3 linked regions of the Arabidopsis thaliana genome follow. The protein of the gene in region 2 interacts with the protein of the main gene of each other region in a pairwise test. Each region holds a gene or a part of one and is shown on either strand. Other genes may lie near its edges.

Region 1 (7,925 bases), on a different chromosome or scaffold from region 2:
ATAGAGAAAAGGACCAATCTATAAATTATATATTCCATAAACACTACAATCTCATTTACACGTGAGGACCACAGTTTTACAGATCTTTTTTATGAACTTTTGATTTTTTTAAGAAAACACTAGGAGACATAACGGTTCAATTTCTTAAAATGTCATACTTTTGTTTTGTCGATAACGCTTATGAAAAACTTTGTCATTTTTTGCAAATTTCTTTGAGAAAAATAACAAAGAAAAACTGATCTTTAACCAGTGGAGCTGTGATTATAGAATCTTGAACATTGTGAAGCAGGTCTTGAGAGCAGAGGTGCAACTTCGATCGGACACGTGGACAAACCAACGACTGGATCTGTCTCCATACAGTTATATGACAAACAGAGCGAAACAGAGTCTGGTAGTTGGAGACCAGAGTTCCAAGGGAATCTCGTGAAGTAGTTATGTTGCAAGAAGAGCTGTTTTGTTGTACCGTTGATTAAGCTCTTGACGTATTCCTCTGGAATGTCTCCAGTGAGACGGTTGTTGTTCAAGAACAAAGCCTCTGCTCCGACAAGCGCGGGAGTTAGCTCTCCGGAGATTGAGTTATGGCTCAGATCAACAATGGAGCCCTCAGGTAACAATGACGTGGCGTTTGAGGTGGCAATGGATGTGAAGTTGTTTCGTTGTAGGAACATTGTTGAGATTGTGGGACTAAAGAGTGAGCTAGGGATTGCGCCGGTAAATTGGTTCATGCTTAGATCGATGTATATTAGCTCTGTTAATGGCTCCATGGCATTGATTGTGCCCTGCATTGAGTTTCCGGATAGAGATAAGTACCGGAGAGTAGTCGGGAAAGCGGGTGGGAGTTGGCCGGAGATTTGGTTCATCTTTAGGTCTAAATGGAACAATGGGCTAGAGACAGGCTTAAGGTTGTTGGAGAAATGGTTTGAGGCTAAAACAAGGACTTTGAGTCGAGGAAGAGTGGTGAGAAAAGGAGGGAGAGAGCCAGAGAGTTGGTTATAGCTAAGGTCAAGAGTGTGGAGATTTGAGAGAGATGAGAAAGATACGGGTATAGGACCGGTTAAACGGTTTCTTGTTAAGGAAATGACTCGAAGGAGAGGGAGGGAATCGAACCGAGGAGGGAGAGGACCGGTGACTGAACCGGGGTAGAGAATGAGTTGGGTTAAGTGGGTTAGAATGGAGATGGAAGGGGAGAGAGAGCCTGAGAGATTAGGGCCAAGAGTTAAGCCGGTGACACGGCCGCGAGAAGAGCAGGTAAGGCCAGAGAAGGAGGAACAAGGGTCAGGAACTGTGAAGTCCCAAGAGGAGAAGAAGGCTGAACCGGGCATGTCGGTTAAAGAGTCTCTGATGGATTGGAGCGCGGCTCGATCCGTAGGAGCTAATGAAGAGAAAGTGGAGTGGACAAGAGAGAGCAAAAGGAGAAAGAAAGTGTAGCTCATGTTTTTGTTTTTGAGAGTTGTTTTCTTCTCTTTGTCAATGAAGTTGGTGTGAGATTTTTAAAGAAGAGAAGAGAAGAGAAGAGAGAGCGTGAGAGAGAGTAATAATGAAGTACACAGCATGTGTGTGTGTGATAGACAGTGAGTGAATGTTAACGTTATGGATTCTTGTTCGAAAATGTGTTAGTTTATTTATTAGTGACGTCTCTTTTGACTCTTGTCGGTGTCATTGGCGGTTGTGGTCCCTTTTTGCATTCATATCTCTTCAGGAGGTAATTTAAGATTAGACATTTTTCCGTTTGTTACATTTTTTCTGAATAACAATGAACACATTACACCCTAAAAAGGTATGTAGGTGACACCATCATGGGCAAGGATACATTCCATGGTGATGACTAGAAATGTTGGATCTTAAAAATATTATTCCTTTGATCATTCAAGGCAAAATATTAAGAAATTACAGGTCGATTTTCATGCCCACAAATCTAATGTCAACCATCAATTTAAGGAAAATAGAAAAAGAACAATGGAGACACTCCAAGTCCCAACCAAAAAGAATATCAAAATATTTCATGAGACAAAAAAAAAAACAGAGAAATTTTGTTTTTATAATAAAATCCGTTCAGGCAGTTAAGTCTGAAATATCTCTGGAAGACTGATCGTACTCTGCATCTTCCTCAACGAGCGGTCGTGTATCTGCTGCTGGATCATATCCCTGAACGACGAGCACCGACGCGGTGGTGGAAAACTCTGATGACGACAACAAGCGTCCAACTGGTCCTAACTCTGGACAGTCTGTACTCTTAACCAACGATGCAACAGCTGCATTTCTTCCAACGACGAAGAGATTGCATTTACTCATCGATTTAAGTGTCGCGATGATATCGTCTTTGCTCTCAACGACTCTTTCCTCGTAAGCCAATGACTCATTTCCTCTTGGATCATTCATCAACTCCCTCACAAACTCTTCGTCAGTCTCTTTCTCTTTTTTCTCCTTTTCGTCGTGTTCACTCTTCTCGAATCTCTTCAATGTTCCTCTCGCAGCTACAAATTTGTAAACAGTTAGTGTGATTCCTGGATGTTCCACCATTTTCATCCCGTATGCGAGAGCTTCTCGGTCGTCGAGGCCTCCAAAGAATGGAATCACGACTTTGTAAGCCACTTCGCTGGCTACAACCTGTGAGGTTCCTCCGAGTCCTCTGTCCACAAGAATCCCGACTGAGCAAGGAGCTCGTTGCAAGACCCGTTGGTTCACTTCATGGAACCTATGTCCTATTGACTCCATCGCTCCGTCCATTCTCTGATGCTTGTGAAACGGAAGCAGTATCATCGCTACTCGTTTCTGATGCGCGCTTGTGCATATGTCCTCGTGGATGCTGCTGAGGCCAGAGATTGCAGTCATGGGTCTAACCGCTACTGCTCGTAGATGCTGGTAAGCCTCGAAGGCAATCACCATCTGGTCCGTTGATCTCTCGATCTTATTCCAGATTGGGAGACCATTGTTTCGAGCTTTGTGAACCATCGCGATCGCTGATGACCGTTCAGAAAGCTCCATCAGATGCATCGCGTAAACGCAGAGGCGTCCCTTTTTGCCTGTTCCTCTTGATGATTCGATCAGATTGATCAATGTGGGGATGTTACGGGTACTGTGGAAGCAAGCAAGTATCCTTAGCTCAGAATCATGATCTTTTCTTTGGATGGTTCTGTGCTTGTACGGTGCTCCTTTTCTTGCAGGCTTGTAAATAAGCATCACAATTGGAGTTGTGATGAAGGTTGTGAACAATGCCATTAGGACTAAGATCGCAAATGCTTGATCATTCAGCACCTGCTCACAAAAATCGTTATTTAGATAACTCGGCTTTTAAATGTTTTATAAGTCTTATTATGGCTTTCAAGAATCTATACCTTCCGGTCCTTGCCAATGTTAAGAACAATGAGCTCTACTAAACCTTTGGTATTCATAAGGAATCCAAGTGTCACGGCTTCTCTGAAAGGAACCTTGCAGAGCATCGAGGAACCAACTGTTCCTACAATCTTCCCGAAACAAGTGGTGAGAATGACAAGAACTAGAAGTCCCCATGACTGTGCTCCCCTGATCGTTGTTACATCAGTTTTGAGACCGCTAGCCGCAAAATACAGAGGTAGAAGAAGCCCCGAAACAAGATCCTCTATCTTCTCAGTCAAAATCCTGCAAAATGGTCCTTCTTTAGGAGCTACTATACCTACCACAAACGCCCCGAACAGCGCGTGTATCCCAATAGTGTCTGTCACAAAGCTTGCTGCTAAAACCACGGTTAGAGTGACACAAACATAGAGTTCCTTTACAGGCTCTCCCTCAGGACAGCGTCTAGCCATATAAGCAAGCAGAGGTTTGATTGCCACAACTGCAAAGATCACGAATCCAGTTCCACAGAGAAGAACCCAAACAGATACAAGAGGAGAAGTCCCATCTCCTGAGAGAGCAATAGCAAGCGCAAGGAGTATCCAAGCTGCAACATCGTTTACTCCCGCTGCAGACATTGCCATACGTCCAATGTCAGTTGTTAGAAGCTTTAGCTCAGCTAGTATACGAGCAAGCACAGGGAAGGCAGTGATTGATAAGGCAACACCCATGAAGACAATAAAAGGAAGCTGATCGACTCCTTTGCTTATGGTGGCACTGAGAACAAAAGATGTGCCTACACCCACTATAAAAGGAAGTGAGATCCCAGCTATGGCTATCAATAGTGATTTCTTTCCAGTTTTTTTTATTGCTGCAAAGTCAAGCTCAAGCCCAACTAGGAACAAGAAAAACAGAAGACCAATGTTGGCGAGTGTGTCTAAAACGGTCAAGCTCTTCTTTGGGAAGATGGTGTCAAGATAGGCCTTGCTTCTCCCTAGTGCAGAAGGTCCAAGCAGTATCCCTCCCTACAGAACCATCCCTTTTAGTCTCTTTTGCTATGTGATTTCATCAAAACAGAAAAAGAAAAATACAAAGAGATTGAGTAGGAAACTCACAATGATCTCAGCAATGACTCGGGGCTGTTTGAGAGGCTTAAGAAAGTAAGCTAAGAGCCTTGTAAACACAACCACCAAGACGATTTGTAGGATGATAAGAGGAAGCGCGAAATCAAGAGGGCTTTCGTTTTGGAAGGCTCCATTGGAGGTAGCCTTCATTGGACCCGGGCATTGCCCTGTAACGTTGGTGCTTGCCATCCTAGTGGAGATCTACTTACAGGTTGATGATTGGTCAAGAAACGAGATACTGCTTCACCCTTCAATACTGCCTTGGCTGCTCCCTCATTGCATTGCCAAACGAAGTATGAGACCTGAATGGGAGGAAAAAAAAGAAATCAAGATTTTATTCTGTTCTGTTACTGTTTTTATTAAACAGAATCTACATTAAAGAAGTGAGTATATAAAAGGAAAAAACAGAAAACTAATAACGTCTATAGTTTGCTAATAATAGGTAGATGAGATAGAAGCGGACATACCAACTCCAGGGTGGGCATATACCTCGCACTTTTCTATTTATAGACTATCAGTTACTTAACTTCCAACCATATCGCATCTATACTTCGCAGATATGAACTGCCTTCACTGCGCCGAAGTTTTCGTCTCTGTCTTTGTCCTTCTGTCCTAAATTTGCAAGCACTTGTACCTGTCTCTTAACTAAGCAGCACATTTGATGTCTTACCTTCTGAAGCTTTGTAAACATCAACCATTTTCAAATATATTATCATCGTATAGACGATATAAACATTCTTGAGATGCATAAGTAGTAAGAACAAATGAACACATTAAAAAGGAAGAAGTTAACACTGTTCCAAGCCGACTAATCTAAATTTCAATCATGGGTTCTATACAAGCAAATTTCTGAGAAGGACAAAACAAAAAAAGACTTAAAATTGGAGACCGTGTTCTATTTGCTGAAGCAGCTAAAGCCATGGTAAGTGTAAATTGCACGGTCAAAGGCCACCTTTGTGATCCCATTCTCTACGCAGGATTTTTCTATAACTTCTCCAACTTTCTTAGCCATTTCCTAATCAATTCCAAGAAGAATCAAAGTTAGACAGTGTCCAAGAGAAAAACAATTGAAGCTAAGGGTCTCATGCTAAAACTTGAAAGGTTTCGGCTAGAGAATTTTGTAGATAGATTGTAGTTGAATTCAAAGCAGGTGGTAGTGAAGAACTCACAATGGTAGAACCAGTGAGCAAAAGATACAGAGCCTTGGCCATGGTCTGAGAATTGAAGGAGCTTTAAGCCACCGTACTGAATTGGAATCGGCGTCGAGGCTGTTCTCAGCGAGCTCAGACGCTGGATTACATCACCCTCTATATTTTGTAGGTTTCGAATCTTCGGTGGCTCTCTCGGTTCAATCGCCGCAGTCGGAGAGGAGAGTCTTCCTCCTCCATCTCCACCGCAAGAAGCGACCGTCGATCATCTCCCCCGCCATATACAAATGAGAATCACTAAAAAGTTTTTAACTACAGTTGGGCTAAAAGCCCAATAATAAAGCCCATAAATGAAACGACATCACAGTCATATAAATAAGAGTTCAAAAAGATGAATAATTCCGGGAAATTTTTAGAGGGCAGAGTTGTGTTTCGGCCCAGCTTGAGTTAGGGTTCCTGTGGGGAAACATGAGAGCTTTTTACTGAAGTTTCAAACCTAACTAATTTGTGTTACATCGATCCTTGTTCAAATTTGAAAGATTTGAAGATGATGTCCGATCTTCCAAGAGATTTGTTGGAGGAGAGACTCTCTAGGGTTCCGGTGAAATCATTGAGAGAAGCGCGATTTACCTGCAAAAATTGGAAAACATTATCCAAAAAGCGGAGCTTTACAAAGAAGCACCTTGCTCAGGAAGCAACATCAAGGGAAAGTGAGTTTAAGGTTGTCATGGTCTTGCATTGTAAGGTTTATCTAACGAGCATCAACCTCCGTGGAATTCACAACGGCTTTGACCCGTCTATAAACCGTCAAGCTAAACTTGTTAGCCTAAACGGTACAGATCAGATCGATATATCTGAAGTATATCACTGCGACGGTTTACTGTTATGTATCTCGAAAGACTACACTAGGGTCGTGGTTTGGAATCCGTATAGGAGCCAAACTTTGTGGCTCAAACCCAGTAGTCCTGACCATAGAATGGACTGGTATATCTGTGCTATAGGATACGAGAAGCGTAAATCAAGCCTACGCTACAAAGTTTTGCGATTCGTTGATTTTGCCGAAGAAGAATTTGTTGAGTACGAAATATACGAGTTAAAGTCTAATTCATGGAGGGTTCTCGATGTCACTTCCGACTGGGAAGTAGAGTTTTATGCACGAGGTGTCTCTCTCAAGGGAAATACTTATTGGTTTGCTACAGACAAGTTTCCAGAAATCAGCAGTAATCTTATACATAGTGTTTATTTCTTGCTCTGTTTTAATTTTACATCGGAGAGATTTGGGCCGCGTCTTCATTTGCCGTGTTACCCTATGGATGTAGATACTGTGAGTCTTTCTAGTGTTAGAGAAGAGCAACTTGCTGTGTTATTTCAGCGTAAGGACAACTTACATATGGAGATTTGGGTTACGACTAAGATTGAACCTGAAGAGGTGATGTGGAGCAAGTTGTTCTTAGCAGTGGATATGCAACCACTCACTGATTTTAAGTTTGGAATTGCAGATGCGAGTTTCATCATTGACGAAGAGAAGAAAGTTGTTGTAGTCTTTGCTAAAGACAAAGATGTAATGTATCCCACTCACAACACAGCTTACATCATTGGAGAGGATGGATATTACAAAGAAGTGGATCTCGGAAAAACTACTGATAAAATTCGAGATCCACTTGTGTGCTCGTATGTTCCAAGCTCAGCGCAAATCAAGCAAGGAGGCAAAAGGAAGAAAAAAGGGAAATTGATTACTGATTAACATTTATATCTTGCTTTGTGATCTTCTTCTTTCAACAAAATTTGGTTTGAAATAGGATAAAATTTTGTTAAAATCGAAAGTCTGTGAAACTGTAAGTTTGGTGTGAAGATACTATATTATCTGAATCACTCGCTACTTTCAGCAATCTAATCAAAGGACCAGTTCACGTAGAACCAAATCTTCAACAACAAAAGAGAAGACAAATTGAAGAAACAGATCGAAAAACACGACCACTAACTCTGCTATTCATAAGCTAATGCAATGAATGATTCAACAAAGCTTCATTCACAATCCTTCCTCAGCTTTAAGAATGCGCTCCCGAGATCAACTAAACCTCTCTACTCTTCGACGGCGCAGCTCATCTAAAGGGAGATCATTAGAAGAAGAAAGTGCTGGTCCCTGATTCAGTGACCATCCATTTCCTCTAGCCCGTCCCGAGCCACACATCTCGCAAGCACTTAACCAACCAGAATTGTCATATGTACACGACTGACATCTCCAAATACCAGGTCCTGCTATCCCAGTCTGACCTCTTCCCACTCTTCCTCTCCCCGTAATCCTCCTTCTCCGAGACCTAACCATACCATTCAGAAACCT
Region 2 (9,089 bases):
AAAGAGAGTATGATCCGTAGGAATCTGCAAGCTTGAGAAACTAGAGAGCAGATACCGACGACGCAACCAACCGAAGTTTCCTCTGTTCTACTCATGGCAGCTTCCAAGAGAAAGCTTAAACCTTTATCTATCACCCGTCCTCTGTTATTGATCGCTGAGGCGGTTGCGCCGCCATTCTTTAATGAAGTTACTAGTTGCCGACTACAATATAAGTCGTATGGCTGGGCAAAATATTAGTTTGATTCGATCGGATCCGTTATTTGGTTCGATTCAATTCGAAAAATCGGGATATCTATAGTTTTACAAAGCAAATTAAAAAATAAAAAATTTGTTAAAAGTGAAACAAATAACTAATACTAAAATTTAAATAAGTGGATATCTGTTTCGATCTATTATACACAAAACATATATATATATATATATATAGATAATTACATACATATATATTAATAATTTAACACTTTTTATGTAAGTTTTATCAGTTTTTTTTTTGTTTTTTTTAACTTCAAACTTTAGGCTTTATTATAGTGATGAAGTGTAATCCTCATGGATGAATTATACAATAAAAAATGGAACCAAAGAGAAAAGAGAAAAAGAAGTATTATTTGGGAATGGAGTCTTCACTAAACAATCAGCAACTTTATTACACGTTCTAGGCACCCATGTGACTTCGGCTTCGAAAAATTTCTTCTGCCAGTATTGAATCTCCCTTATCAAGTTGTGTAACTCAAAACTTCGGGCTTTGCCATTGACACACTCTGCCACACTTCTATTGTCACCTTCGAATATATCACACTCAGTTTATGTTCATTAAATTAATTATTTAAATATTTTTTTAGTGAATCATTATTTATTTGGGATTAAATTTTTGATTTTTATAATTTTTATTAATTTTTATAATTATTTTTTAATATATACATAACAAATTGAATATTTGACAAATAGTTCAGATTTTAAAGAATATCCAAAAATTCGGTTACTTTCGAAACAAATATAAATCAGAACACTAATTATTCGGATAAAACAAATCGGATAACAAATAATATTACAATTTTGAATATTCCGTTGGTGTCGACCCCTAAAATTAAATTATGTGAAATTTTTAGCATCGGATAATGTTTAGCGAGTTAAAAAAATGAATTATTAGGTGTTTGTTACGGATCTGATTGTTTTCTATTTTATATAAGTAAGGAAAAAAATCTGTTTTTTCTTCTTTTTTACATTAATATAAATTGAAACAACTTGTTATTGCGCTCTCTTTGAAAATTCCAAGAACACTAAATGTGGTCAATAATGGCAGATTTAGTAACAAACATATTTCAACAATTAACTATACAAATTATTCCCAAAACAGAAGGCTTAATATCAACATCTTAAAATTTACTAAAAATTGAAAACACTAAAGAGGAAATTAAGTGACCAAGTCTTCTTCTTCTTTACTCTCTCCTTTCTGTTACCGTCGAAAAAATCGAGCTAATGTCCGGTGATAACCAGATCCGAATCGGACTCTTAAGCTGCACAAACAAAGTCCGCAAACTCTCTCGAGCTATAAATCTCTCTCCAAACGCTACTATATCCGCCATAGCCACCACAAGCTCCATCGAAGAAGCAAAATCATTTGCTAAATCCAACAATTTCCCTCCGAATACAAAACTCCACAGCTCCTACGAGTCACTTCTAGAAGATCCCGACGTCGACGCCGTCTATTTCCCTATCCCCACTCGCCTCCACGTCGAGTGGGCTACACTCGCCGCTATTAAGGGTAAACATATACTCCTTGATAAGCCTGTTGCTTTAAACGTAGCTGAGTTTGATCAGATCGTTGAAGCTTGTGAGGTTAATGGTGTTCAATTTATGGATGGAACTCAGTGGATGCATAGCCCTAGAACGGATAAGATTAAAGAATTTGTGAATGATTTAGAGAGTTTTGGTCAGATTAAATCTGTAAGTGTTTAAGTACTTAAATTAGTAACTTAATCATGTTTATTGAAATTTTGAGTATAGAACGATGGTCTTATGCTTATGCAGGTGTATAGTTGTTTCTCATTTGCTGCGAGTGATGATTTCTTAAAACATGATATTCGTGTAAAGCCTGGTCTTGATGGACTTGGAGCTCTCGGTGATGCTGGATGGTATACGATCCAAGCGATTCTTCTTGTTAACAACTTTAAACTTCCGAAGACCGTTACTGCTTTGTCCGGTTCTGTTTTAAACGATGCGGGGATTGTTCTTTCTTGTGGTGCGTTGTTTGATTGGGAAGATGGGGTCAATGCAACGATTTACTGTTCTTTCTTGGCGAATTTGACGATGGAGATAACTGCGATCGGTACGAAAGGTAGTCTTCGTGTTCATGATTTTGTTATACCGTATATGGAAACCGAGGCTGTGTTTACTACAAGTGGTGGAGGTTGTGTTAGTGAACATAAAGTAATGACTGAGCTTTCACAAGAGGCGTGTATGGTTATGGAATTTGCTCGGTTGGTTGGAGAAATCAAAAACAGAGGAGCTAAACCGGATGGGTTTTGGATGAGGTTTAGCCGGAATACGCAGTTGCTTGTTGATGCTGTGAAAGAGTCGATTGATAATAACCTTGAACCGGTGTTTCTCTCCGGCCGGTGAGAAAGAGCTCAGAAGTTAGATCAGATTTGTTTGTGTCGATGCTTTTAGTAGATGTAGTAATTAGGGGTTTATGTATGATATCTTCTCGGCGTCCGTTGGTGGAGAGGTCAATTAAAGATCTCCTTGGCGCATGGCTGCAAGCATTTCATCAATACATTTCATCCATCACCAAGAAATTCTAGGGATATATACTGCATAGAGCTTCAAAGACTTGGTGCAGTGTCACTCACGAGTTTTGCTGTGTTTAATGTGGCACCGGGGTTTGCTTGTAAATCTATACCTCCAGCTTTAATAGCAGAGGTAGTGACTATGGCTGGTAAACTTTGGCATTATGTGACTTCTTTCTCCGATGTGACATCTTCAGGTGTCCAAACAAAAATCTCTGCTCATAAGACAATATAAGTTCATCGACAATACTAGCTACTGTTTTGTTGAATTCACAATCTCTGCACCTTTCTTATATAGCAGCCACCTTGGATTAATTTTGTTTTTGTTTTCCTTTTTCCTATGGTTTATGATTCAGAAGTTTAGATTATACGTTTATTTACAAGAATCCAGAGAATGAGTACATAATTGACCAAAAATAAAAGTTCAAATTATTTTGATGTAGAATTATAAATTAGTATTTGTAACTATGTTTTTTTTTAGTTTTTTGAATTTTTAAAGAAGAAAAAACACACATGTCAATATTTGTTCGACAAATATTGGTATGTGTTGTGTTCACGTGAGTTAACAATTTTGAAAACTTATCTACATATACATTTTTGCAGCCATTTATGTATACTTATTTACATTGGTTGCCATTGGCTTTTAATTATTGGGTTTTTTTTTTTGGTAATAAATTGATTAACAAACGAAAAACATTCGAAATATATTTCAATCCTATATATCACGCAGATTTCTCCAAAATTTAAACTAGATTTTGGCAACTATTTAAAACAAAAAATGTTTGACAAACTAAAATACAATTGCAATCCCTTAAAATGAGCAAAACGCACCTAAATACATTTTTTACAATTCACTAAATCTTATTTCTCCAAAATTTGAACTAGATTTCGGCAACTATTTAAAACAAAAATTTGTTTGACAAACTAAAATACAATTGCAATCCCGTAAAATATTTATTTAAATTAGCGGTGTACTACAGGTTTTTTTACGGAACGGGTTTGGCAAGACGGGTTTGGAAGAACTTTACTTAATAACAATTGTAAACTATAAAATAAAAATGTTTTATAGATAGATATAATTTGCAAACTTTTATATATATTAATTTTAAAAAATAATTTGTCTCCGCAGTATACTGCGGGTTAAAATCTAGTTATAATATATATCCGTAAAGAACAATAACACAGTATGAATTTTTTTTGTAAGTTATTCGATTAAAAATTAAAAGAAGCAAATTAAATTAAATAATGAGCTACCAAAACAAATAAACAAAAATTACTTTTTTGTCTATAAACATGGAGTTTTGCCAAGAAATTGTAAATAAAGTTTCTATTCCTTTTTTGTAAACAAAAGTTGTGTATCTAATTTTCTCTTTTCCATAAGTTGTGAATTGTGATAATAATTTACAAGTTGACAAAGAAAGAAAAGATTTAAAACAAAAAAAATGTGATTGTACTTAAGATTTCAAAGGTAGCGTTTTGTTGTTTCTCTCTTCCTCTCTCTCTCCACTGGTACCAATCACGCTCCATTAAGAATTTAAGAGAGAGAGAGACTAAACTTGAGCCCATCACTTTTGTAGTGACTAGTGAGTAGAGTAGGCTTTTAGAGAGAGAGAGAGAGAGACGGCTGTTGAAAGATAACCACAGAACACAAAAACTCATTCATTAAGAATGAGAAAGAAAGTCCCAAAAACCTTTTTTGCTCTGAAAAAGCAACGCAAAGTTTTGAAAAATCTCACACCTTTTTCACTTCTCTGTTTGTAGCTGTTACCACTTGTGTTTCCCCTTTGGCATTTTTCTCGGTTGTCATTAATGAGAGTAAAATCATCATCAAGTGTAAACTTCTCTCTCTCTTTCTCTATCTCTATCTCAAAGCTCTCAACTTTGGAGAGATCATGGTTTGTGTTTGATTTCTCAAGTTTTTTTTTTTTTACCCTCTTGGAGGATCTGGGAGGAGAAATTTGCTTTTTTTTGGTAAATGGGGAGAAAAAAGTTTGAAGCTTTTGGTTTTGTCTGCTTAATCTCACTGCTTCTTCTGTTTAATTCGTTATGGCTTGCCTCTTCTAACATGGAAGGTTTGTTACTCTTCTCTTATCTTTCTTTATTATTTATGTGACTACTTTTGCCTGTTTTAGTTGGTACATGAGAATTGAAATTTCCATCTGGCACTGTCTCTGTTCTTCAAAAAGGACTTTTTAAGAATCTGATTCTGTTTGAAAGCTTCAATTTCTATAGAGAATTTTGTTCATAATCTATGGTTAGGCTCCTTTAGAAAAATCACAATTGATTTACTGTTTGATTCAATGCTATTTCTCTGATAACGACATGTAAAAGAAACTGTATTTATGTCACTAGCAAACACATTAAGAATGAGGAACTGAAGAAGTATTCAATGCAAACTGTTTGGTTGTTTCATGTTTGATTTGTTTGGTAAGTATTTCCTCTTTGCGAAAGGCTTAGGCTTTTGTTTGGTATATTAACAGGTGATGCACTGCACAGTTTGAGAGCTAATCTAGTTGATCCAAATAATGTCTTGCAAAGCTGGGATCCTACGCTTGTTAATCCGTGTACTTGGTTTCACGTAACGTGTAACAACGAGAACAGTGTTATAAGAGTGTGAGTGTCTCTCTGCTTATACCTGACCTGACCAATGTTCTTTGTTTAGCTTATTTAATCTCTGTTTGTTGTTGCTTCTTCAGCGATCTTGGGAATGCAGACTTGTCTGGTCAGTTGGTTCCTCAGCTAGGTCAGCTCAAGAACTTGCAGTACTTGTAAGTTTTTGCTTTGATATCTAAATGGAAGATGAATCGTTACTCTGTAGATAAACGAAAAGTTGATGGCATTGACTATGTGTAGCATAACTACTTTATTTCTAGAGACTTGTAGTTTCTCATACATGATATAGGCGAATATGGCGATTACACTGAATCTTGTTTTTTCATTTTATTAGGACTTATTCAATACCCATTTGTCATTGTACATTGTTAATTTTCTTCTGAGGGTGTGATACTCTTAATGGCAGGGAGCTTTATAGTAATAACATAACCGGGCCGGTTCCAAGCGATCTTGGGAATCTGACAAACTTAGTGAGCTTGGATCTTTACTTGAACAGCTTCACTGGTCCAATTCCAGATTCTCTAGGAAAGCTATTCAAGCTTCGCTTTCTGTAAGAACACTTAGTCTGCTCTTCTCATCATGCACTGGCTAAATGTTTTGCTATATTAGAAATTTACTGAGGATTAAATTCTCTTTTGGCTAAATGTTATTACTTGTTGGACATTTGAATAGAAGTAAAAGAAATTGGCTTTGTCTTTCAAAACACTGAATAAACTTGTTTGATTGAACTCTGGTATGGGAAGATGGTAATGTGGTCTGAGTTTTTGTTGCAAGGATAGTCGGCTCAACAATAACAGTCTCACCGGACCAATTCCCATGTCATTGACTAATATCATGACCCTTCAAGTTTTGTGAGTATTACTTTTCAATTTTACTTTCTGCTCTTCTGAACTTCTCACTCTTAATGGATCACCTGAGTTTTCCTTATTATCTTGCAAACTGCAGGGATCTGTCGAACAACCGATTATCCGGATCTGTTCCTGATAATGGTTCCTTCTCGCTCTTCACTCCCATCAGGTTTGATTGAATCCATACTATGCAAACATTAGTTACTCGCATTATGGGAACTGAGGCTATAAGTTAAGATTAAGCACAAGTGGCAATAAAATTTAAAGTCTGAACCTAAGTTTCTTTTGATCATCTTAACTCTTAAGTAAATTTACTCAATAGACATACTACATTTTCCAAATTCTATTACTTTAATTGGTGGATATGGAAATTATCAGCAGTTGACCATTGTTCTTCTGCACAGTTTTGCTAACAACTTGGATCTATGCGGCCCAGTTACTAGCCGTCCTTGTCCTGGATCTCCCCCGTTTTCTCCTCCACCACCTTTTATACCACCTCCCATAGTTCCTACACCAGGTAATGAAATGAAGCAGACAGTAAAATTTAGATCTTTTACCTTCACTCATGCTTGGAAAAACATATTGGATGGTTGTTATAGAGTTTTTTACTGGATTTTGACTGGAAAAAAGTCTATCTCACAGTTTAAGAAGCTTGTGATCAACTTCACTGGTAGTTAACTATTTTGGTAAAAATAAAATTTAAGGTGGGTATAGTGCTACTGGAGCCATTGCGGGAGGAGTTGCTGCTGGTGCTGCTTTACTATTTGCTGCCCCTGCTTTAGCTTTTGCTTGGTGGCGTAGAAGAAAACCTCAAGAATTCTTCTTTGATGTTCCTGGTAAGTCACTGAGTCTGCAATATCCAAGCTTTGTTTCATTTCAGAATTGGATTAGTATTTAGTACTTAATTTTTCAGTTCTGTGATGCAGCCGAAGAGGACCCTGAGGTTCACTTGGGGCAGCTTAAGCGGTTCTCTCTACGGGAACTTCAAGTAGCAACTGATAGCTTCAGCAACAAGAACATTTTGGGCCGAGGTGGGTTCGGAAAAGTCTACAAAGGCCGTCTTGCTGATGGAACACTTGTTGCAGTCAAACGGCTTAAAGAAGAGCGAACCCCAGGTGGCGAGCTCCAGTTTCAGACAGAAGTGGAGATGATAAGCATGGCCGTTCACAGAAATCTCCTCAGGCTACGCGGTTTCTGTATGACCCCTACCGAGAGATTGCTTGTTTATCCTTACATGGCTAATGGAAGTGTCGCTTCCTGTTTGAGAGGTAACCTTGGAATTTTAACTGTTTGTATCATAAAGTAGAAAGACTCCCACAATGATGTATAAGTGTTGTTTTTGATCTTATCCATTTTTAAAACTTTCCAATACAATTGAGTGAGCTTTCTTGAAATGATTACAGAACGTCCACCATCACAGTTGCCTCTAGCCTGGTCAATAAGACAGCAAATCGCGCTAGGATCAGCGAGGGGTTTGTCTTATCTTCATGATCATTGCGACCCCAAAATTATTCACCGTGATGTGAAAGCTGCTAATATTCTGTTGGACGAGGAATTTGAGGCGGTGGTAGGTGATTTCGGGTTAGCTAGACTTATGGACTATAAAGATACTCATGTCACAACGGCTGTGCGTGGGACTATTGGACACATTGCTCCTGAGTATCTCTCAACTGGAAAATCTTCAGAGAAAACTGATGTTTTTGGCTACGGGATCATGCTTTTGGAACTGATTACAGGTCAGAGAGCTTTTGATCTTGCAAGACTGGCGAATGACGATGACGTTATGCTCCTAGATTGGGTATAACACAGATCTTTTAGCACATATCTGGCTATCTCTCAAAAAGCTGATTTATCTGTTCATTTGGTCTTCTCAGGTGAAAGGGCTTTTGAAGGAGAAGAAGCTGGAGATGCTTGTGGATCCTGACCTGCAAAGCAATTACACAGAAGCAGAAGTAGAACAGCTCATACAAGTGGCTCTTCTCTGCACACAGAGCTCACCTATGGAACGACCTAAGATGTCTGAGGTTGTTCGAATGCTTGAAGGTGACGGTTTAGCGGAGAAATGGGACGAGTGGCAGAAAGTGGAAGTTCTCAGGCAAGAAGTGGAGCTCTCTTCTCACCCCACCTCTGACTGGATCCTTGATTCGACTGATAATCTTCATGCTATGGAGTTGTCTGGTCCAAGATAAACGACATTGTAATTTGCCTAACAGAAAAGAGAAAGAACAGAGAAATATTAAGAGAATCACTTCTCTGTATTCTTTATTTCTTTGGTAGAAAAATAATGTAGTCTCTAATCAAATCTTATTCCATCTATCAGCATTCTTCATTCATTTCTTGTGAAAACCAAGGCCTTTAAATTAAACATAATCACAAACACCAAGTTCTATACATTACATATGTCTTCCACTGGATAAAGAGGAAGAAAAGGCTATTCCAAAAAACATTTTGAGCTCTTTGTTCCGCAAGAGAAGGAACAGCACAAGTGAAACACACTGAAAAACACCAAGCTTGCATTATAACATATGCAGGTAAGAATCACGAATCATGGGCGGGTCTTGTATTGTCTGAGAACGAATGAGAGCCAGATGAGGGATCATGCTTCTGCGATGTGAAGAGATTAGGGTATGAGTAATAGGGATCATCTTCCATTGAAGGCAGTCTCATTTGCTGATGGTCCTGGTCAGGGCTGAGTCTGTCAAGTGGTGAAGTCTCTGGCCTTTGGAGCTCTGGCAGATCGCCATAGCTGCTGACTGATGAGTTCTGATGATCAAACTGCGGTTTCTCCATTGACGGGAATCTATGTGGTGTAAGATCGTCATAGTTGCTGCCTGATGAGTTC
Region 3 (6,884 bases), on a different chromosome or scaffold from region 2:
TCATGAGATTTCGAATGCTCAGCTTCCTTGTGTTTCCAGTTTCTGGTATCATCTGTGTTCTAAGGTTTACTAAAAATTGTTGGCTTGAAAGATGGGGGATAGAGAATGTTGCGAGATTTTAATTGAAAAAGATGATCTTAAGTTGTACTTAAGTAAACAAAAAGCACGCATTCGAATCAATGTCTCAATATTAATCGTTCGCTTAAGGTGGCAATTTTAATCAAAAAGATGCGAGTCAAGCACATTCATTGTCTACTCTAATCAAAATGTGTAATTTGACTAAATGTGCGAACACCACTTGTTTGGAGTTTAAGGGCTGGTCTATCTGAGGGCTTGTTTCTGTTTTTTTGTATTGAATTTGGCAAGTTCTGTGAACTAATTGATGTTGATTGCTTGTGTAAATTCAGGGGGTGGAGGAGAAAGCTAAGAAAGAACAAAGGAGGAAGGATAGAAGAAGTGATAAGAAGGATAAAAAAGATAAGAAGGAGAGGAAGGAGAAGAAGGAGAAGAAGGAGAAAAAGAGGAAGGAGAGGGAAGGAAAGGAAGTTGGAAGCGAAAAGCGCAGTCATAAGAGACGGCGTAAAGAAGACGGTGCTAAAGTTGATCTTTTTCACAAACTAAAAGAAAGTGAAGTCAATTGTTTGGAGAAGAGCAGCCTTACTGTAGAACGTGAGCTGCTTCAGTCGACGTCCCAAAACTCTTGTGATAGCACTCTTAACAGCAATGAGATGTTACCGAAGCAGAAGGAGGTCCAGCAGCCTCTCGATGGTAGACATAACAACAACAACAACGAGAAGCGTGTGGAGAAGCAGCAGCCTCTCGATGGTAGACATAACAACAACAACGAGAAGCGTGTGGAGAAGCAGCAGCCTCTCGATGGTAGACATAACAACAACAACGAGAAGCGGATTGAGAAGCAGCAGCCTCTCAATGGTAGACATAACAACAACAACGAAAAGCTGATGGAGAAGCAGCAGCCTCTCAATGGTAGACATAACAACAACAACGAGAAGCGGATTGAGAAGCAGCAGCCTCTCAATGGTAGACATAACAACAAGGAGAAGCAGAAAGAGAAACAGCAGCCTCTCGATGTTAGACATAACAACAACGACTCTGGTGAGTTTGTTTGTGTTTCTTCCTTCCCCGGGGAAGGATCTTGTATTCTTGTTGGGTCTAATTACCTTATCAGGACATTGATGACATTCTTTCTTCAAATTGTTGATATGAATTTGAAGAAAGCATCATTCGGATTCGATTGCCTATTCGAAGGCAGAAAGATCCCGAGGTGATGATGACCAATAAGGATCAAGAAAAACCAGGTCCTTCTCGGGGAATAAAGTTAGACTCGTCCCAACTTCCTACTAGAGAGCCGGTTAATCAACATCCTTGTTCCACTTCTGCAGCAGAACATGCTTCGAAGCCACGAGAAGAGAAAAGGAAAGATCCCATTTTTAGAGGGAAACACGGTAAAGAGAAGATATCCTCATCCTCTACTCGAGAAACTTATCAACCTCCTAAAAGCCTATGCAATTGCCCTCCATCCATGGTGTTGCAATTCTTGGACGTAGTTGAGAATTGGGTCCCTAACACGATCGAGAGAAGAGTAGACCTCATTAACTCTGAAGATGAAGAATGTTGGTGGTCCATGAAGAAGCCGCCAAGTAGCACCACAGAAATATGCAAACAACTTAATAGAGAGAATGAGATCAAGCAAGTAGGCAATACAATGGGGTGGCCATGTGCTCGCCTTTTACCAGAAGCTGATGTCTACGCCTTACCTTACACAGTCCCGTTCTGATAACATCAAAGAGCAGGAAGTTTTTAACAAGGAATCTGGTCGAGACATCCATGTTCTGGACCAGACAGTTTTTTGGTTTAGCCTTAAAATTCCAAGGTTGTATAAGAAGAACACACTGTTTGTTATTCTTTGCGGTTGGTAACCAATATAGTAATATCAGTATTTCGTCTCAATCTCTCTTGTTCTTATAATAATAGAATGAGAAATCGAAATGGAATTTTCATGTGAAGTGGATTAGTAACATTATCACAATTGATAAAACATTTGTAAATAACTAGACAAGCTTTCTCGGCTATCAGTTAAAATAGAAGTTGAATTAACCTCACAATTCGTTTTGTACGGAACTAAGAGATCACAAATGAAAACGGAAAACAACAACAAAAATGAAAAAGCGATACTTTTTTAAACCACCCTGTCATCCTCATCTCAAAGAGCTTCTTGACTTCCATGAGTGCTATTACAAGATGGAGCAGGCCTTTTGTGCTTTGTTCTTCTTTTTCTTCTGCTTTGGAGGTTGAAGGACCACTCTGATCGCTGCATCAAACACGCCCTTCACGTTCTGCAGTTATAGTCACATTGTTTTCATCAAAAGATGAAGAATCCAACACCGAAAAGATGATTCATGAGATGTCTTTTATTCGTTTACCTCTTGTGATTTTGAACTGCACTCGATGTAAGCTGGCGCTCCAATTAGCTTCTTCAGCTCCTCTCCCTTCCATGCAGAGAGGGAAAATGCTTAACGGTGGTAAAGCTGATAAAATTGCACTGAGGAAATAACTGTATTCTTACCTGAACAGTGGTAATAGGGACAGCACCAGGATGGTCGATGAAAAACTGTTTGTCATCTCGAAGATCTGACAACAACCAAGGTTAGACAATCAAAAAGGCCAGGATCATGAGTTGACTGAAGATCTTGCAAGTGTCTTTTATAAAGGTATACACTTGCTATACAGTAGCTATTTCATTGGAGGATGCTTAAAGGCGTGTGTTATAGGATATGGTTGCTTTATCACAAGAAGTGCAAGATACAAGAAGAAGCCTGTTGACCAATGATATTCTCTGAAAACTACCCTCAGTTTCACCTAACGAATACATCTTGAACATGTACAAGTTTTAACCACAATCAAGAGAAGGTGAAGTTTTATGTCCACTAATGTCATGATATATTATACCAGAGCAGCTTAATAAAGTGAAAAGGAAAATGGCAGTGTAAGCATGGGAATCAGACATATATATAAATAAATGCATAAACAAGGACAAATGTGAGAGGAGGAAGTAACCTAGTTTGGTTCCAACAAGGACAATTGGGACACCAGGAGCATAGTGCTTCAACTCAGGAATCCACTGTAAAAGAAAAGAAGCATCAAAATTTGGAACTCTCAATTGTTAAATAGTCGACCAGTTCGGACGAAACTGACCTTCTTGGAAACATTCTCATAACTAGCCTTACTAATGAGAGAGAAGGCAAGAATGAAAACATCAGCACCACGGTAACTCAAAGGTCTTAATCTGTTATAGTCCTCTTGCCCTGCATAAACCAAAAACATAATTTCGACCGATTCATCAAGGAAAGCTCTCTCACCAAGGATTATGAATTGGATCATCATTCATTACCTGCAGTATCCCACAATCCAAGATTCACCGTGGCTCCATTAACAACCACATTTGCACTAAAGTTATCGAAAACAGTCGGAACATAATCCTGTTCCAATGGAAATGTATACAACATTTTTAGTATGTATGGATCCCAATTCATATATGGCACAATCAGAATCAAATGAATCAGATATCAAAAAAAGGAGGGAGAATGATTGATGAATACCGTGGGAAAGGTGTTGCTGGTATAAGAAATCAGCAAACAGGTTTTACCAACAGCTCCATCACCAACGGTGACGCACTTTATGAACCTTGATGCGCTCATTGCCTCTTCTTCTTCTTCTTCGAGCCAAAATATGTCACAATTTACCAAAAAACAAAAGAGATCAACCTCAGATTTAAACCTGAGGAAGCCAGAAACACCCACAATGTGAAGCCAATTCCTCCGAAACTTCGACCATTATCTTTCAATTAACCATCTCAAAACCCTAGATATGTATAATGTGGAAACAAACCCCCCAAATAGAGAAAATCAGAAATGTGAAGAAGGAAGGAAGATGAATAAACAAAAGGGAACGTGAGGACGATGAATTGGAGGATGCGAGAGAGAGAGAGAACAACAACTAGAGAGAGAAAGAAAGAAGTAGAGAAGAAAGTGATGGCCGGAAATAATTGCCATTGAAGCGTTCGATTAATCTCAGCCATTCAACCTTCCGACTGTTTTGCAATCTTTTTACTTTTTTTACTTCTTCTGTTGTCTTTTAAATAATTACTATTTTACTTCTTCTTCTTTTTTCTGTTTGATTTTTTAGTGTATATTCAAATTAATTTATTTATCTTGTATACAAAAAAGTAAAATAAAGGAGTTGCACATAATGTATTTTGTCTTTGTTGTTTAAAATGCAAATAAGAAAAATTAACACTGGCTAAAATTATACGTGTTTTTAACTGTCTGTAAAATTTCTAGTACGATTTGTTTTACTATTCTAATTCATTTTTTTACTAGTTTTTCCGGATGCTCACCAAATGTGAAAAAATCTCTAAGTTATGATTCAATATTTATGAAACCAATCAGCCAATTGCGGTACAATAAAGTTGTAATGCACTAGTTCTTCCGCATACTCGCCAAATTTATGTTAAAATTTCAAGGATGTTTGATGATATTGAATGTGGTTAGTTGAATTTGCATGTTGGCTAGTGAGAATGTGGTGTATGGACCAAACCTGAACTTATTTGTATGTCAACAAAGTGTGGTAATATTTTCTGCCAAAAATTGCAATAATCTCAACTAACAAATATTTTACCGAGTATGTAAAATGTCAACATTGGTCATATTTGCCTTTCGTGAGGAAAGATGTCTATGCTAATGAACTTATTCGGGTCAACGTAACCTTCCTTGATAAGAAAACCTGCGACAGCGAGAACAAAAACGTTAAGAGTTGGGAATCTTTCACAAACCATGTAATTAATTTGTCGGAAAAAGTTAGCATTTGAAAATGTTCAAAGTAAAAGTTTTTATTTGATGTGTGTACGATGATACAATCACAGTTTTGATAAACCAGGATTCGTGGAGTTGGAATCAGTTTTATCAAATCAACATTCCAAAATTACTAACAAGTTTGAAAATATGCAATGACAAAAAATCATAAAAATCATAAATACACGAGCTACATATGGATGAATGAGAGAGTTAATCTATAAAATCCGACCAAATAACTCACCAAGTCTACGATTTATTATATGGCTTTTAACAGAGTAACGACTGAGAGAGACATATAAGAAGAGCATTGATGAAACTAACCCTGAACATCACGGCGAGTAGTCAACTGGAAGTCCAAGATGATACCCCGGCGCAACAAGCCCGCTATCACCGCCAAAGGTTGCCGTGGATCGTTTGTCGTGACTGTGACGGATCATTTATCTCTTCTCTCTCTCACCTGTAATTGTCAGAAACAGTTTAGATGGCAGAAATTTCTCAAAGATAAATTACACTATAATAACTCTCTTTAACATTATGACTACAATTCCCAAAATCAAGATGTTTCAGAAAATACACGGCTCAATTCGTCAAACAAAAAGGAGAAACATCAGATTCTTACCAAACCCTAAAGCAGAGTCTCAAAGCAGAGTTCTTGATTACGATGATAGTATATAATGAAATCACGGGGAAATTGGGTGAACGCTCTCTGTTTTTCTTTCTTTGCGTTGGTTGTAGTGAAGCTTGATGAGCCTTCCATTTCTAGCTATTTGCTTGGAGAGAAACCTGCAAGAACACTCGAAAAAGAAAACAGAGGAAGATGTGAGTTTAGACAAAGTGAAAATAGTATGATGCGTAAAACTGAAACTGACGAAACTTTAGTGAGAAGAATAGACCATGAAAGTGTTTCGATCAACAACATAAGTCGTAGAAAAGTAAGGAAACATCTAAGAATTCTTACCAATCTTAAAAGCAGAGTTCGGCTAGTGACTACGAGAAACCTTGGACGAACTTTGTTGAGAGGAATGAAACTTGCTCTCGATTAACTTTGGATGAACTTTGAGCTCTCTGACTCTCTCTCTCTTTGGTTTTTCAACTAGAAAAAAGACTTTTGCTTTCTGAAACTACGAGAATAGTAAGCGATTATACAGAAGAAGAAATGATTGTGGGAAGTAAGTGAGTGAGCACGAGCCACTTATATAGGCAGCTTCGGATTTCTTCTTTCAACGGCTACTTTTCTAACGTCTATATTTTCTTACCGTTGTAAATTTTGCGTCTCAAATAAGTTACCGTTTGTGCATGAGGTGACAATTGACTTGACAGGTTGACACCGAGATGAAAATTACACAACAACAAAAACTAGAAGCATTCATAATAAGCCCAATGGGCCAATAGAGACCCAACCAAAACCCCAAACCAACAAAAAATTAAGGACACTGTTCGTCATTAGTGGATAATTAATATTTTAGTGTAACACCTTCACAACGATCGTCTCTCAAGGTCAAATAGTAACTTAGTAAGTAGCCCTCTTGATACGAAGTAGGAACCAAAACGCTTGTCTTTATGGATTAGAATGTTTGTCATATCTTGTTCAAAACTAAAAATGTCTAAAAGTTATCTTGTTTTTATTTGTTATTACAATAACGAAATCATTTCAATCAAATTGATCTCAAACAACCAATGTAGTTTAGTGTTAGGTAGAATCTTCTTCCGAGATAGTTATGCCCCAGCTCTGCTTGCGACGGGATGGTAACTAAAACTTTTGAATAAACTATAGTTGCATAGATGAAAAATTGAATATATGCGAAGATTAGCAAAAGGGTTCTCCCATAACTATATTTAATACTTTGCTTTCTCCATATGACAAAACATTCTTCTCCCCTAAACTCTTCTTCAATCCTATTTATATATTCATCCTTCTGAGTCATTCTTCAATCTTATTCATCGGTCTGAGTTATTTTGCTTGCTCTTTGAAATTCTGACAATGGCAGTGAACGTTGATGCAGAGTACCT

The links. The genes of interacting proteins can lie anywhere in the genome.
Region 1: the proteins of SERK2 (region 2) and CHX19 interact in a protein complementation assay, tested with the Arabidopsis thaliana proteins (one large-scale study listed by BioGRID).
Region 3: the proteins of SERK2 (region 2) and RAC6 interact in a protein complementation assay, tested with the Arabidopsis thaliana proteins (one large-scale study listed by BioGRID).

The regions. Positions count from the first base shown.
Region 1 is NC_003074.8:6,025,901-6,033,825, reverse strand, and holds CHX19 (cation/H+ exchanger 19), read right to left. Parts: upstream 5,139-7,925; 5' UTR 4,904-5,138; exon of another isoform or gene 4,739-4,903; 5' UTR 4,626-4,738; coding exon 4,428-4,625; intron 4,338-4,427; coding exon 3,336-4,337; intron 3,256-3,335; coding exon 2,053-3,255; 3' UTR 2,042-2,052; downstream 1-2,041. Other genes in the region: AT3G17640 (Leucine-rich repeat (LRR) family protein), read right to left, coding at 243-1,433; AT3G17626 (structural constituent of ribosome), read right to left, coding at 5,332-5,451, 5,606-5,647; AT3G17620 (F-box and associated interaction domains-containing protein), read left to right, coding at 6,132-7,328; RBL14 (RHOMBOID-like protein 14), read right to left, coding at 7,653-7,925. UniProt on the Arabidopsis thaliana protein: May operate as a cation/H(+) antiporter.
Region 2 is NC_003070.9:12,454,317-12,463,405, forward strand, and holds SERK2 (somatic embryogenesis receptor-like kinase 2), read left to right. Parts: upstream 1-4,247; 5' UTR 4,248-4,761; coding exon 4,762-4,858; intron 4,859-5,266; coding exon 5,267-5,399; intron 5,400-5,482; coding exon 5,483-5,554; intron 5,555-5,805; coding exon 5,806-5,949; intron 5,950-6,178; coding exon 6,179-6,250; intron 6,251-6,344; coding exon 6,345-6,416; intron 6,417-6,651; coding exon 6,652-6,764; intron 6,765-6,951; coding exon 6,952-7,083; intron 7,084-7,173; coding exon 7,174-7,515; intron 7,516-7,650; coding exon 7,651-8,045; intron 8,046-8,121; coding exon 8,122-8,436; 3' UTR 8,437-8,589; downstream 8,590-9,089. Other genes in the region: AT1G34200 (Glyceraldehyde-3-phosphate dehydrogenase-like family protein), read left to right, coding at 1,477-1,944, 2,029-2,619; AT1G34220 (Regulator of Vps4 activity in the MVB pathway protein), read right to left, coding at 8,786-9,089. UniProt on the Arabidopsis thaliana protein: Serine/threonine-kinase involved in brassinosteroid-dependent and -independent signaling pathways. Acts redundantly with SERK1 as a control point for sporophytic development controlling male gametophyte production. Serves as coreceptor to small peptide (e.g.
Region 3 is NC_003075.7:17,021,796-17,028,679, forward strand, and holds RAC6 (RAC-like 6), read right to left. Parts: upstream 4,072-6,884; 5' UTR 3,720-4,071; coding exon 3,621-3,719; intron 3,501-3,620; coding exon 3,413-3,500; intron 3,327-3,412; coding exon 3,217-3,326; intron 3,143-3,216; coding exon 3,079-3,142; intron 2,653-3,078; coding exon 2,588-2,652; intron 2,511-2,587; coding exon 2,445-2,510; intron 2,358-2,444; coding exon 2,256-2,357; 3' UTR 2,042-2,255; downstream 1-2,041. Other genes in the region: AT4G35940 (uncharacterized protein), read left to right, coding at 408-1,116, 1,236-1,798; APX5 (ascorbate peroxidase 5), read left to right, coding at 6,856-6,884. UniProt on the Arabidopsis thaliana protein: May be involved in cell polarity control during the actin-dependent tip growth of pollen tubes.